Linked DNA regions of Styela clava. The protein of the gene in region 2 purifies or fractionates together with the protein of the main gene of each other region. This does not show direct contact. Links are inferred from orthologs where the notes say so. Each region holds a gene or a part of one and is shown on either strand. Other genes may lie near its edges. The genes, in order: disks large homolog 4-like and kinesin-like protein KIF13A.

What was found.
Region 1: the proteins of kinesin-like protein KIF13A (region 2) and disks large homolog 4-like purify together in Drosophila melanogaster (affinity purification with western blotting; 3 studies listed by BioGRID). This does not show direct contact. The link is inferred for Styela clava from reciprocal best matches to the Drosophila melanogaster genes Khc-73 and dlg1.

What each region holds. Positions count from the first base shown.
Region 1 is NC_135256.1:22,009,698-22,018,171, reverse strand, and holds the start of disks large homolog 4-like, read right to left. Parts: upstream 3,301-8,474; 5' UTR 3,195-3,300; coding exon 3,176-3,194; intron 2,646-3,175; coding exon 2,514-2,645; intron 1,297-2,513; coding exon 1,091-1,296; intron 1-1,090. UniProt on the Drosophila melanogaster protein: During embryonic development, some isoforms are essential for proper neuronal differentiation and organization. Required for cell polarity; maintenance of apicobasal polarity.
Region 2 is NC_135255.1:951,154-959,411, forward strand, and holds the start of kinesin-like protein KIF13A, read left to right. Parts: upstream 1-4,915; 5' UTR 4,916-5,061; coding exon 5,062-5,146; intron 5,147-5,509; coding exon 5,510-5,600; intron 5,601-7,621; coding exon 7,622-7,634; intron 7,635-8,258.

The DNA.
Region 1 (8,474 bases), on a different chromosome or scaffold from region 2:
TATTATAAGACAAGAAGACTCATCAAAAAAATGCAAATTCCAATTAGCAAGAAAAAAAGATTCAAAGAATCTTAAAATATGATAGCAAATTTGTTTTTCTTCCATTGGGTGAGTGTATTTCATGTTTCAAAGAACTGAAATTTCAATAAAAAATCATCTTGAACATATCAATCTTAGGAATAATGCCGTCCTTTTAATGTCAAAGCATGTCTTCTTACCCAGTGGGAATTCCTAATACAACATAAGTGAGTGGCAGATACAGGTATTTGTGTCATTTGTGTCAAGCTGTCAATGCACTGCATAGCTCAATCAGTTATTCTGTGTTGCATGAGTTTGACAACTGAATTCACTATAGATAGGAAGTTATAAAAAATGTTCATGATGAAGTCATTTTAGCCAACTTGTTACTAAAGAGTTGCAAAACTGCGCAGGTCTTACACGAAGTCTGCATTTTCCCTTATATCCATATTTAGAAACAAGCCTGCACAATGAGTGCAATTAACTGCTGCAGTTTCATGTTTGTATATAATTTTTAGAATCCTGAAGGGTTACAGATGGTATTTGGCACTGTACCACGGATATGAATTTGGAATTCTGTGCAATTCAGCTAGTTATATGAAGCAATAAATAAATAGGCTTACAAGTATAAAGTTTTATCCAATATTGATATTCTGGGATTCTGATTTGGCAAATTTTAATATAGAATATTCTAAATGGCTTTTCTTCTAAAAACAATAAATTTCACAAAAAACAGTCATTTGATTACGCAAATCTTGAACATGATTTCTCTTTGAATAATAGAAATTTTAACTGTTTTTTAGACTCATTTCATTTGAATTCTTCAGACATCTTTACACAAGATATTCAAAAAAGCATATTTGCATAATTACATTTAAAAAATAAAATATAAAATTTATTTCTAAGCCTTTTTTTAGCTGAAGAAATAACCTATTTCAAACAAATATAGCGAATATCGGGACATGAAAACAAAGACTAAACAATAATCTATAAAAAAATTACTAAATGCTCAAATCTCCCATTTTGAATTTATATACACAAGAAGGTATAGGAGGCCATAGCAGCTACTCACATGTTCCATTGTAAGGGCACTGGTACTGAGCTGATATTCTCTCCGAACATGATCACGGTTTGTTCTGAATTCTTCTGTTGGTAAATTTCCATCTTCCTTGACTCCACTAATAGAGCCGTAGTTGTTTGAAGCAGGTTGCTGATGATAGTATTGCTCCAAATGTTTTGAAGACTCTTTTATAGTCAGTTCATAATATTCGTGAATATCTGAACAAAATATAATAAGGTAATATTCACACCTTTTCAGATGAAACAAACTGTGTCATCCCATCCTAAACAGCACCCCTACATGTAGGCCTATAATCACCAAAATTTATATTTTTTCATACTTTAGGTAAAAAAATGTAGTTTCCCTCATTGAACCATACTTACAAATCATAAACCCAAGGTTTGATGAACAAAAGTGCAGTTAAAAAATTGTTAAAATTGTTCTCATGTCTAACCAGTTGAGTGAACTATACCCTCAAGGATGATAGCATAGATAGAGCACAAGTAAAACAAACAAAGTGTGAATCGACTGCTGACAAAACTGTGATAGCCACATAAGATAATTCATTACAACTCATGGAGGCTCAATCTACATACTTGACTAAATGTGGCATCCATTTAAAAAACATCTATCCCTTCTTCAATAAACTTACTATCTCAGTGATAGTCGATGTGATAAGATAATATCAGTTTTATATTAAGTATGAACTTAATATAAAAAGTAGGTAGGAAACCTAGTTTAAAACAAAACGCATTTCAATTTTTTAAATATTCCATCAATGAATCTGAACAAATAATCATGAGTGGAAGTTGTTAAATAGATGTTAAAAAATCATTGCAAACCAAACAAAATAAATTCAGCACATCTAGTATATTGACAAAACTATGGTAGATCAATTCAAAAAAAAATTTTGAGTAAATCATGTATTCTGATATTATTGTAGCTTTCAAGTCTTGTTATGATTAATCAATCACTATTGTGGATATTTGACTCAGATATGGTGGTGCCATTAGTCAGGGATCACTTATCCATCCCCTCAACATGGTTGTAACTAGGTAAGCAATGCCAGTTATGTTTCACAACACACACCCCTCTCAAGTAGCCGGTTTAGCACAGCTTTGTTAGAAACAAACATGTGAAACCTTTCATGGAAATTATACATAGTAAGACAAACAAGTAAAAGCATCACAATATATTATAAAATGATAAAAACATTGAGCAGTGATAAAAAATAATGAGATCCAAAATTTGAATTTATGACAGTCAAGCTCCAAAATCTTTGAAAAAAAAAATGAAATGACTTTTTTTCTTAGATCATGCATGTTCAAATTGACTAATATGTTGTAAAAGAACAGTTGAATATAAAAAAATTTAATGATATTCAAGCACTAAAACAGAATTTTAATTTGGTAAAATGGTCAAATATATTACATACCTAAGAGAGCGTAAAATAAATCACTTCTAAAAATATCCATGACTTTTTCAAGTGCATCTCTTAGCTGACTATCATCAGGTTTGTTCAGTTTTAAATGATATTGCTTCAGAAGGGCAAGAGCACGGTCAGCATCTAAAAACATTTAGAAAAAAATTGATTGGTAATAAAATAAATCGTGAGCACCTTTGAAAAGCTAATATTCTCAGAAAATCTTAATTTTTAAGTTCTTAGCAGTTCACTATAGAATAAACCAGTGGTTCTTTAAACTTTTTAAGTCCTTTCAGAATTTGTCTAGTCTCGCGCCCAACCTCAAAATAACTAGCTAACAATAGGCTACAAATAACAGATAGTAGGAGGAAAGTATGTTTTGTTAAAAACAAAACATTGAAAATATGTGAATGGAATGTAAATAATGGAATGAATGTAAAGTTTTTAAAACAAACAGGGGCAAGCAAGATCAAATCTAACAAATATTTTTTATTTTTAATTAGCTTCACGCTCCCCAAGAAATTGTCTATGCCCACGTTGTTTGAGAACCACTGGAATTAACTATAAGACTGTATGAGCATAAAGATAGTATTCTAACACATGGCTGGTCAGGTCTCCAAGACATAATGAATCTGACTGAATTGTGGTCCATAGAACCATACAAATATCTTTACCTTGCTTTCTTACAGGCATCTTCAACTTCAGTCACGTCCCGAATATAGTAATATCATAGAAACATAAAATGGGAGGTACATTACTCCGTGTGGGTTCTGTAACTGAAATTTCAAAAATACCCTGAAAATTTGATATCAATGAAAGAAGGAAACATTGGACCACAAAAATTCAGGACATATGAAACAGCGAAATGCAATAACATAATCATATCCAATTTAAAGACTCTAGTACAATGAGTCGAACACTGGTCACTTTTTCAATGACATGAGTTATCTAAATCAGTGATAACCAAAACTCTTTTCAAGTGATCTGAATTTTTCAAAAAAATAAAAAAAAAAGTTTGTTGAATCTTGAAAGAAAAAGTTTGTTGAATCTTGCAACCCAAAGATATGTTTAGATACCAAACGACAAGTGGTGCATCTATGCCTACAATTGAAATTACCAATATGAAAAAACATTAGTATTGGTTTCTTATCACAAATTTTTGAAATTGTACGTCTGTACGTGGATTTCTTAGGCAAAATAGATTTAAGCTTTTAGTTCATGATACTTCCCACATACAGACATATATACACTTAAGACTACTATTGAGCAACACTTCAATATGTACAGACTTGGTCCAAAATAAACAATTCAATTCACTACAAAGATAAAATCAATAACTGTATCGCCTTTGTTAAAAACTAAGCGACCCCAAAATTTCCAAGTGACCCAGCTTTGGGATGCGACCTAAGCACTGATCTAAATGAAGGTATTTCAGGTTACTCAAACTTACTGAACACCACCAGCGAAACTTGAATTGACTCAAAAATATTCTGGTGAAATAAGATTATCCCATGACAGCATGAATTTATGTGATATGGGAAAACCGAATATTCAATAGCTTGTTGCGCCAATAACAAGAGATTGTTTAGTGTTGATGCCTAGGTAAATATTATCGATTTAATTCTATTCGATTTACAAAATAATGCTGGTCTAACACTCTGACACTAGACAGGAACTTTAAGTTTTCCTTTATCCATTTCACTGTTGTTTATAAAATATACTGACTCGAAAATGCAAGGGGTCTGGTATAGTTTAGTACCACATCCACTTCTAGTTGGCCTGGCTCAACAATTTTTGCATATGTCAATCCTAACCCCCACATGACTACGTCAGCGAAAAATTACGTCATTCCGACGTCACAGTGGCGTAATAAGGCCCACCGAAGTATGCGGATGGTCGTCCAAAACGCGCAGACGATAACCCGAAATCGAGCAAGCTATTTCTCTCGTTTTCTCGTCGCAACGATCGCGATAAGAGAGAGACTTTAGCAAGTTCTTATCGGCGGCGCAGATGCCATTTCGGGCAATCGTAATCATACTTTGGCAATCCCTATGACGTAATTTTGTGACGTAATTTTTGGATGGCATAGTCAGGTGAGGGTTAGGAATAACATATGCATAAATCGTTATGCTACGCCCACTGGAAGTACTTGTGGTAATAAACTATACTAGACCCAATGCAAGAATGAGATTGCAGGATTAGGACCCCTGTACTCCTGCACTTGCAACTTGAGGCTTAGGGACTTTATATCAGACACTGAAAAATATTTGATCGGATTTTGGACTACATGAAAAAGATACAAAATCTATTAGTACAGATTTATCAATTATAACAACATTCAGACTTTAGGTTCCAAAACCTATTTTCTGTATTTAATAGATTGACTGAGCATCTGACCATTTTGTCCATCAATTATAGAGGCATCACACAGCTAGCGAGCATTTTTGAACTCGGCTCTTTGAACCACGTACTACAGCTCTAATACCTACGGTATACTTGGCAGCGGGATAAAACAAACCACGATTATATCTCACACTTCGCGTAATACGCGAATTTTAAATACAATACTCAACATGGCGAATCAAGACGGTGATATATGTCACTGCACAATATTATATTCGTAATTTGGGTATTAAATCTGTAAATACTAAAATTGAATCGTGAAGAAAACAGAAGGCCATACATCTCTACTGAAACGAACAAGCCGCCGTTTGTGTCTTTTTACATGGGTTACCGTACTGCTGAATTGCGAAGTTTCTGGGAATAAAACACATCCTATCTTTATCGAGCATGAAGTTTCGGACGAATATAATAATTGAAATATCAGTGGGCGAATTAACTTCACTGGAAGTCGTTTAGAGGTCGATGCGAATTTTGTAATCGGTGTTATCCTCAATATCTGTATGTGCTTTTTCTACTCCCATAAATTTCCTTTAGCACCGTTTTCATGAAAACTAATGGAATCAAATTCGTTTTATTACTTTTATCACTGGTCAGTGGCAAATTCCATTAATAAGGCCTAAGAAAAAAAAAACGACATTTGTGACGTCATTGATGACACCGATTTACATCGGCTTCATAAGAACTTGCTAATTGTTAACGTTGGTGTATTATGCTCGCTGGCTGAACGCCAAAGCGGGACTTTTGACTGACCGGTCGGGACGCCGGGACAAGACGTTAAAAAGTGGGACTGTGGGACCAATGACATTAAACAACATGATGCGCAACTCCGGCATTTTTGGCCGAAGATCGTATCCAATAGCACGCTCCAATGCACATACTTGACGAGACGAAAACGAGCGGATGTGTGCTGTTTTCAAGGTATAGCACAAATGGTGTTCGTGCCTGCTTTGACAGTTGTTATCAATTTTAATGATATTTTGGAAAGTTGAGGTAAAAAGAAATCGGAAAAAGGTAAGGTGAATACTATTGTTGTATATCACACCCGGGCATCGCACTGTTAAGTACATCTGGAAAAGCCAGCTTTTGTCAAATACTACGAAGTTATTAATTCAGCACGATACGTAGTTGCCCATTTGCCGAAATTGCATGTTTACCTAACCTTTATGGTTTCAAATAGTTCATGCACCTCCATTTAGATTTTTTTAATCAGTGAGGATATATACTCATTGCTGTAACATACTATTGCTCATTCACTTTTATTTGCGTATTGAATCAAAAGGTTAACAAGTTCACCTAACATTTCACTCATACCGGTCTATATTGTATAGTCTGATCTCTCAAGTATTTGGAGCCACGAATGCTTGTAATTTTCTGACTAAACCCCTTTATAGAGGACTTGCACGGGTCACGTGACCTTGTTACTGGACGGCAATAAAACAAAAACGTCCATTTGGCTCCTGTCAGTTGCAAGTCGGATTATACGTTTCCGTTTTGTTTGGCTGTTGAAAATGGTTATTTCGTATTGTTCCGCTGGCTGTACGTATAGTATAGACAACGAAATGGAACTTCAGCTATATTCCACTGTTTTCAAAAGATCCGGAACGTCGCGCAATGTGGATATCATCTATTGGCAGGACTGCTTGGTGTCAAGTCCAGAAGCCATCTTACTCGTGTTTCACTGTTTGCGGACAGCACTTCGTTGATGGTGAGTCATGATGTGCCGTTATCAATTTTTTTAAATATTCATAAGCTCCCTCATTTCAATGGAAAGCAGATGACAAACTATTGTTATTGGTAGGCTTAGGCCTACTTGCAGACTTGACTCGTGTAAGGTATTAATCAATAATTGCCATAAGGTATTGTTTCCCTAGTTAGCAGGTAATCTATTAGTAATTGTGAAAATTTGAATAGATAACTAAAGTTTAATGCCAGTGCTAATGCAAAAAATAACCAGAATTCAATTGAATTTTCCATCTGAGAATACGCTCGCCACCGCATCTCTGATCCCCATGGGCAGATGGGAGTTTCACAGGTTCCAATCCCATGCGGGGATAGTTATGTGCGAGGGGACGAGGAGATTGCAGCTCCTCCCACTGAGGGTGGTTCATACGACCGCTGGGCGATTACGACATACCCCACCATCAAGTCCATGCTTCTAAAACAAATAACTGACTAACTAATCCCGACATAGAATGGTAATCGTACGATGTTGCACCTTGCAATCTGTCCCCAACCACAGATAAATTCTATCCTAAAAACTACCCACATTGGTAGGCATAGTTGCGTTTTAAATTGAAAGAAATCTTCATTAATGGTCAGAAGGTGTTGTCTGATTATTTTGGTAGTTAGCAGGTAATTTATTACTGATCTGATACACAAACTTGGCACTGTCAAATGATGATTAGTGTTTAATTTATTTTCAGGAAAAGGGAAGATAACCCATTATCAGCTGCTTACATGTTCCATCGATATTTGAATTTTCGCCATCCCCAGAGAAGAAGAGAATAGTTCGAAAAAGGAGGATTTTGAAGAAAGGAAAAAGGCAGGACCATTTCAACAAATTCTGTTAACTTGTATGCGTTGCAATATTAATTCGCAGTTGTTAGCATAAACATTTAATGTGTCTTTCGACTAGACCTACCACACTTAAAAAAAAACGCCCACACCCCTTTTCACTAGAACCATAATACTGTAAAATATTTGATAGAAATTACCCCCGAGGCATCATATCTTTCATTTGAAAGGGCTGTGGAGGCAGATACATTTTTTACTCTAAATTATGGAATGTTACTTCCAGGTTATCTTATCCTTGCTTATAGATATCTTGAGGTTAGTGACTCCAACTGACCCATGCATGCCACACTGAAAATTCTCTTGTGTACCCATAAAATAAGGCTGTTGGAGCCTTCAGACCTTGAAAACAGTCGAATCTGAGCACGATGGATTCATGTGAAACACATAATATGCATTTAGAGGCAAAAATATCCCATCCTGAGCAGCACCGATCCACAACATCCTGCCTATGGAATCAAAACATTAGACAAATTGGTGTACTGTGCGCATTCACAAATTTTTGCGAATCAAGTGTGCCTTTTGACTAAAGAAATTGTTTTTTGAAAATACATTTTTGATGTGCTTTATTTTTCAAATATAATTTATAATTACTGTAAAGTGTGTGATACATTTGGTACCATGAATACTATTTGCAAATTAGCTTGGGTTACACCCCTCTCAAATAAAAGTTTAGACTCTTAAGTCGTATCTCATAATATTCTTTAAACAAAAGGTTGCGGCTAGCTGGCTACCCATCAGAATTTCCTTTCAGATCACAAAAGTCGCAATATTACGCCTCGCTTAAGTTTCATTGGCAACTGTATCTGGTTGTAGTATCGGTGTCCATCGTTAGACTGAAACCTTCACGACCAGACCCACCGAAACAATTTTTTTTTCTTGATAGGGTCGTCTTGAAGTTGATTTCGTTAAAGCACAATGGACACTTTATCTCCACCAATCCACAGTAATGACAAGTTACTTTTTCATTACGATAAGCATCAATAAATGGATACTGAG
Region 2 (8,258 bases):
AATTGCTACTCAATCGAAATTGAGTATGGACCTTTCTCCGAGCATCGACTTCCTTGTTAACTTCGTGACATTGGTCAATCAGGAAGATGCAAAAAGTGACGTAACAATGCTCCCTTTTCGCATCCGCTCAGACACTTTTCTCACTCAGACAGATTTTCAAGCGTGGTGGTAAACTACAGTGATTTCCCTACACCGCCCCCCCCCCCCCCCACCCTCCCTAAAATTTCAAACACCCCCCTAATTTTGAGGTGCGATTCCACACTGTAATTCCTAACTCTAGTATAAATGTATTCAAATATAACGACTATGGCACATTTATCAGTGTAGGTGAGGGGTTCCAAACCGCAGTCTGCGGGCCACTTACGGCCCGCGCAACGACTTAAAATGGCCCGCCAAAATAGTTTAATAGTTTAACACATGAGGTACCTTTTGAGTTTTAGATCCCGTCTATCGTTACATCATTATCACAGTTTGAGCACGTTTATTTCGTAACAATTGAATTATACCGGTATCTTATGTATACGTATTGGTTTTAGGATTACACACTGCAGTATTTTAGATATCAGCCGTATATTAAGAAAGCTTAAAGATGTCACAAAACGAAAACTAGGCACTGAAAACAGACGTTTTTTATATGAATGGCAGCGTTTTTATTTCTTTATTGAAAAGAATCAAACTTCAGCAATTTGTCTTCCATGCCAATATTTCAGTTTTGAAGGAATACAACATTATGCGCCATTATGATCAGTTGACACGCGTATTTCAAAATTTAATTCATTGTTTAATTCATACAAAAGTCAAACAAACATGTTCAAAATAATGTGGAATGTGTAACAAAACAAGCCATAATTGTAGTCATTATGCTAGATGAGCAAGTAACTTCATTAGTCACTATCAGTTGCAAATTACTTGAAGAAAGCCGTGCTTGTTATTTATTTCTCGAGAATTCTATCAGCTAAATATTATAATTATTATTTTCATCACATAACAAACTGCCATGCTAGGTGTATCTAAAATCAAGCTTAGAGCCTATTTTGGTGCCTATTTCTCAAAATTTTCTCAGGGCGCTTGTAGCGCGCCCTGAACCCCAGCCGTGTCGTCGCGCACTTTACATCGCTCCCTTTTTCTGGCCCTACAATTTTATTATGTTGTGTGTTTTGGCTCGCCGTCAATCAACTTGGGGTGCCTCTCGTGTACATCATTTCTTAAATACATACCAATTTTTTAAGAATACAAATAGTTTTATCGCTAATAGCAAATTATTTACCACCCCCTAAATTTCGAAACACCCCCCCTGAAATGAAAAGCTGGGGAACATACTGGGTAAACATTACCTTGTTTTTGCATTTTTGAACTCCATTCGCTAGTTTTTAATTGTGTTTCGGAAACTTAAATATAAATTAGATAATTCAATAATAACTCTGTCTTTTTGCGAGTTTTAATTTAATTGCAGTAATAAATATTAGGATCAGTAGAGGTTGCGCGAGACTAACTCCCAATCCTTTCTCTATGCCTTTGCGCTAGTGGATCCGTATGCATGTAATGCAAGGATGCTGTAGCAGGGAAAAAACTTCCTGCTGCTAATAAAAACTGCTAGTTTACAACTGCTTGTCTGAGGAAGTCTGATTTTGGTCAGAAGAAACGTTACAGAAATATATTTGTGTTAGTGTGCAGCAGGACTCTTGAATTGCATAATAAATATTAGTGTCGAAATAGCTGTGACAGGCTAGGCTAAAAATCCTTACCGGTACTTTTAAAAAACAGATTGTTGTATGCGATGGATCATAATAATGGTTTGAAACACATACCCCATTTTACAGGCGCCAACTCGCAAAAGCACTCTTAAAATAGCCCCGGAAATTTTGCAATGGTAAAGCATAGAAGGAATTTTTTGGGGGCCAAAGGTCGGGGAGAGGTCCATAGACGTCCTTTTTTCTCAATTTATCGTTAAATATCGACATCTCATAAAATATAATGGATGTGCATCATTTTCTACATTTTGAATCAAAGAAAATTCAATGTCTTTCAGCATAAAATAATAACATTATTTTGACTCCTATTATGAGATATATTAGCAAATCGCAAGAGAATGACTTACAGACGCCTCTTCCTCAATTTTTTGTTAAATATTACCTTTGTTTGTTTTATATCTCCTAACTGATATCGATGTGCATAATTTTTTACATTCTAAAATAAGTTAATTGTAATACACTTTTATATAATATTAAAAAAATTCTGCTCCAAATGTGGGACATTTTATCAAAAGAAATTGAATTGCTAGGAAGCGCCCTTCTTCGACTTTTCATTAAATCTACTATTTTGCTTTAGATTTTGAACCTAACATCGATGCGCGATATTTTTTAGATTTCAACACTAAGCACTTTATTTTGAAAAAACAAGATTCCTACACCAAATGTTGCATATTTAATTTTACAAAGACGCCCTTTTTCTCGAATTTTCGGCAAATATCACAGCGTTTGCTTCAAATCTCTGAAACTAATATGGGGTTTGGCATTTCAGTACCAGTTAAATTCCATGCATCCTTCTCGACGACTAACATACATAATCCTGACATAATATATAAAAAAAAATAATGATGATATTGGATGTTTCCCCGATCCTTGACTTTTGCGAGTGTTTTGGAGAGTTGACACTTACAAACTGATTTATATGTAGGATACTAATAGTTTAGTATCGCATATAGTATCGTATAGTCTATCGCAGCTTCTCCGGGACTAATTTTTGATTATTGCAACTGAACTGAAGCTCATCGGAAGACATAATATTAATGACAATTAAAATATTTCATTCGCAACTAATTTTCAAACTACTAAAAACGGACAAATAACACGAAAATTCGCAAAAACCATGCATGTATATAAGTCTGAGCGTAAATATATACTACTTAACTACTAGTGTCTGGGCGAACAAAGTGTCTGATCGGCTTCAAAAATCACATTGTTACGTAAATGTTGACTTTTTAATGATTCGTCATTGTTACGGAAATAAACAAGGAAATCGATGCTTGAAGAAACATCCACAAATTTGACTTGACTTTAGATTTTTCACTCTAATGAACTCTTCCGAATTTCGCTGTAATGAAGCTTCGCAATTTCGTCAACTTCTTATGTACGACAGCCAGGAAACTACGTTTATAGATAACTGAGGTCAGGAGGTACCGTAACGTAAGACTAGATAGTAGATACCGGTACTGGAGATACGGTACCGTACCATACAGATACTGGTAGGATAGACTAATAATGCGTACCGGTATTTCACTTACGGTAGGTTATACTTCTACTTATGTCTTTGGTGTTGGTTTTATGTTGGTTTTGTCTTGACTGCACAAAGATATCCCATCGTTACTTAGTTCAGTCAGTTAGAACAGCACTGACAGGGATTCGACATGCTCGCAGAGGTTGGGCACCACTGCTTTAGCCTATTACAGTACTACAAGTACTAGGCCTATGCCATTTTTGTATGCCATGGTGAATGCAAAAAAAATTAAACAATTAAATATTAAACCAGCGTAAATGACAATTTAAAACATTTCCCTGGTTTAGGCACAAAGAGGCGAAACCCCTGCTGCCTTTTTTTACATAATTTGTGAGTTGCAGAGTTGGGAAAATACGGTACATAACAGCATAAAGGAGAGTTTCACCAACAGAGTACCATCTCTGTTCTTTATAGGCTCATTATCGTGATAGAGCATGCTAAACAGGGAGATACTTGGCAAATATTTATGCAAGCAGCATTCAGTAATACGACAAAAAACATTCTAATTGCATCTGAATTACTATAAATTCTGAAATGGGAAATGCTTGCAAGAATATGCTTGAAGACGATAAAATTGACCACGAATAAATTAAATTAATTTTAAGAAAAAGATTCGTTCAACTGACTACTACGACTGCGAGAAAGAAATTTTTTTTATAAATTAATACTGAAATATCAGAGATGCGAATATTTTGTGGCTAACAGCGTATTGCTGTATTGACAAACTCAGGCTTTATTATTATTGTGGACTATGTTTAAATTTGTAATTAAGTCCAAATATGCATAATGGACGCGGCGCTGACGAGCGATAATTAATTGGTCGTCGGCGACGCTGTATCTCGATCAAACATGGTAGCTGGAGCTAAAGTAAGACGACATTCGCACAGTATGCTTGGTCTGGTATGAAATCTGGCACGTGTTGATGTAAAACAGTGCACAAGTTGCCATTCCTCAAGTATTATCTACTTCCATCTGTCGTTATGACATTGCTAGAAATATCGTAATATCGCAGTATCGTAAATATCTAATAGTTCTTTTAAATGTACGCGAAATATTCCACTCAGAACAATGTTCAAATTAAATTTTAATTAAAATTAAATATCGTCGTCGGTAGCTGATTCTCTATCCAATCATGCCTGGGCGTACCATAACTTAGTCGCAGCGCATGTGTGTCATCAAATTCATGGAAAACTGAACTTGCAGTCTGGGGGAAATTACGCCACACATCATCTCGAGTAATACGTAAAAGAGTGTGTTGTGCTGAACTTGAAACAAATGACGGCGGATCAGTAAAAAAGTCAATCACGAAAAATAAATTTTCATTTCCATCCCATAATTTGGAGTGCCGCATAATCGCATTCGGCAGATTTAATGCAGCTGAAAACAACGATTAACAAACAATCAATGTTTTTTTTTTGGTGAATCGCTCTATTTTCCCGAATCGCGTAAATCCAAGGACCAAAAGTGGCATCCCTATCTGTAGGTGGCAAGCAAAAAATTGAGTAATCGAACCTACAACTATTCTACTGTACAACGCTTTGTCTTCATTTTATCAATATATACAAGTACTAATATTAATATTGTCTTATTTTGTTATTTTTTCTGTTAACTTGAAATATTTATGGAACTGTTGCTTAACACATTTGACTTATACTGAGGTGTGCAGACTTACCAGCTCACTCTGTTTGGATTTTTATCTTGCAACTTACGAAACTTGTGCAAATAACAACCAATGTAACTGATGATTTAACAAGAATTTATATCCAATTTGAAACTGAAATCAAGATGAGTAAGGGAGATGAAGATAAAAGGCCTGCTACAGCTTCAAAAGTTAATGTGGCCGTGCGAGTTAGACCTTTTAACAAAAGAGGTGAGGCAAAAGATTTATTATTCATGTATGTGGTGACGACTTTTTAAAGAAGGGATCTTGTGTAAATTTATTTATTATAATATAAATAGCATTCTGACAAACAACATTACTATGGTCGTTGCCAAATTTAATCTGAGGTTTGCGAGTTCGATTTTGTGGGTTCTGTACATCGTCTCATGCTTTCACATATCATGGAGATCTGATATTGTGCATCAACCAAATTTAACTTTGTCCCAGTTCACTCTGGCTTACATCTCTTGCGTGTTTACTCTTAAGTAAGTTTCATCAATTTACAGATAGTGTATGTGACCCTGCTTTGTGCATATTCTCATAAGGAAATATTACTTTTCACATTATTTTCAGAGATTGAATTGAATTCAATTTGTGTTGTGGATATGGAAGACAATCAAACTATTCTGCTTCCTCCACCTGTTGTAGGAAAGGCACCTGATAAGTAAGCTAATAATTTTTTTATATATATATATATATGTTTTTTTCATTGCTGTTACATTACAATGAGCAAAAATCTTTGGGACTGTTCACTGTTCAAAGTTCATTCAAGTGCACAACAAATACCTCAGTTGCCTCATTGTAAATTTGGAACAATACAAATCGTATATGTTTTCCCAAGTTTATATTTTTCGTTTTTGGCATTCCCACTTCTTAACTATTATATATTGATTCCTGTATTTGCAAAATTAAGTATACCGTAGTTATTTACTATTGCAAATGTTAGCAATTTGTTGTAATTGACCTATATTTGATTGTGAACTGCATTGTCAAACTGAAATTCCAGGGTAAACTGGAACATTTTATTAACCTTTTTAATGTTATATTTGTTATCTGGGATGTGTCACTATTCCTAATACCCTTATACAAACAAAGTTGTTTTGCTTTATATTTATATTGTTTGTATATCTGACATGTGTTTATTTTTCACAAGAACGCCCCAATTACATGGCAAGCTAGTACAAAATTGTTAGTAGCCAACTGAGGTAGTTGTTGAGCACTTGAATGAACTTTGAACGGTGAACCATTTTGGTCTTTGTACTACAAGTGTTCGATGCTGATGTAATGTGTGTGGTTCATGAAAATAATTCATTACATCAATATATAATTATTTGTGAACATATCATATGTAGAATTGAATAATTTTTAAATCAACAGCAGTTCTTGCAAGTCATAGCAGAATCTGTCGAAGTTTATCAGCGTAAATATTTTCATGGGAATTACCACATGGTTTTGATCAAATATTTCATTGGTAGCTGCTGCTATTGCATATAGTATATATATTGAAATATAGTGTGTATAATGATGAAATGTTTGTTTGTAATGACTTTTCTAGAAAACTATATTAAAGTACTATGATGTGCTATTATTAAAAGAAACTGACATTCAAATATTCAATCATTTTTTAAATCTCAATCATACTGATACCTTATTAAAGAAGTTAATATTAATAAGAAATATCTAGTTAGAAACCTATTTATACTTTCATGGTCTCTCATTTTGCGTCATAATAATAACGACCTGAGATGCCCTTTGGGGATTATGGTCCTTTTCTTCTTAATATTGACCAACTTTATACTAGTTTAAAAGCCATGATTTCATCAATTGTCTGGGATTGTCCCAACAAAATGCAATGTTTTACAATCAAAAAATATTATTTGCAGTCAATATTATTAATAGTTGTACATTCAACTACAGGGCCTTTGAGGAAAAAAATTCCAACTTTAATAAATTCCTCAATATTACAGTACTGATCAGTTGCCATTTTCATATGACAGTATGTTTAATTAGTTTCACATGTTAATAACTAATTTTTTTTTGACATGGATGATTGTATAATTGTTGAAATTATTTTTAAGTTACCAGGCCTCATTATAAAAATAAAAAAATTGAAATGAGTTATTCATATGATTGATTCATATCAAAATCCAGATTAAATTAAGTACCCAAGTTTATATGGACTTGAACTTATTTTGAGTTCATTGCCTGCTATTTTGCTGCCAGTTATTAAAGCGTTATTATTTAAATCTATTCCTTATGTTCATGTGCCAGTATGTTCTTCTTGTGTTTTAACTTTTGGACACTAAAAAAATGTTGTTGGACACTAAAAAGCTTGTTGATGACCATAGTTTTTGTAATTCCGAGAATTTTTTTGGAAGTCTCTTTTATACAGCTGTTAAATTGCTGATTTTGTTGATTTGAACAGATTCAAATGTATTTTCAAGTTGTTGATAACTCTTGACATACCAGGAGTGTCCTTCATTTTGATATTGAAGGATTTTCTTTTTTGAGCTGTGCTGGTGACCCTGCTTCAATAAGCAAATATAGAAAGAATCTATCTATGCTGATTACCATGTACAAAATAATTGAATTTCTCCATGATCATTGCTCTATCATTGAGCCTGGCTGGCCTATACCACTGCGTCAATATAATCATTAAATTTTTTTTTCATGTATCGTGAACAGAAAACACACCAAGGTAAGCTCAGAATCTTGTGTTTTTTATTCTTTGAATTTCAATTAATATTACTTGACTTTGACACTAAAGTTACCATAATCTGCTAGTGCTGGTTGCCGAAAGACCATAAAGCAAAATTATGCCTAATTATCACCTTGGCCTCGTAATAGGTAATACCAGTGTTGAGTAGCATGTGTTGAATTTCAAAGGGAAAACAGCATCTAATGGTATTCTAGATCAAGTAGGCACCAAACATATATCTGCAATTAAAGTTCAATATATCTATGTTCTCACGTTGATTGACTGTGGTAACCCTTAGCAACCATAATGAAAACTGCATTTTTAAATTTTACAACCTTACAAGCTGTGAGTTTGCTTTTCAAGTGTACTGTGGCATGTTTAATAATTCAGACAATGGCTGTGATGTAACGCTGTACTTATGGGCGAGAATTGAAATAATATTATTATAGCCTACCTGTTGTCGTTATATCCATATACTATACATAACATAAAATGATTGTTCCTAGTAATGTAACGAGAAAAGTTTTGTTGATAACATTCTCTTGAATGCCCTGCTTGAATTCCGGCAAATATATTTCAAATCTATATTTTATTGAAAAACATTTCTTTATATATTATTTCGTT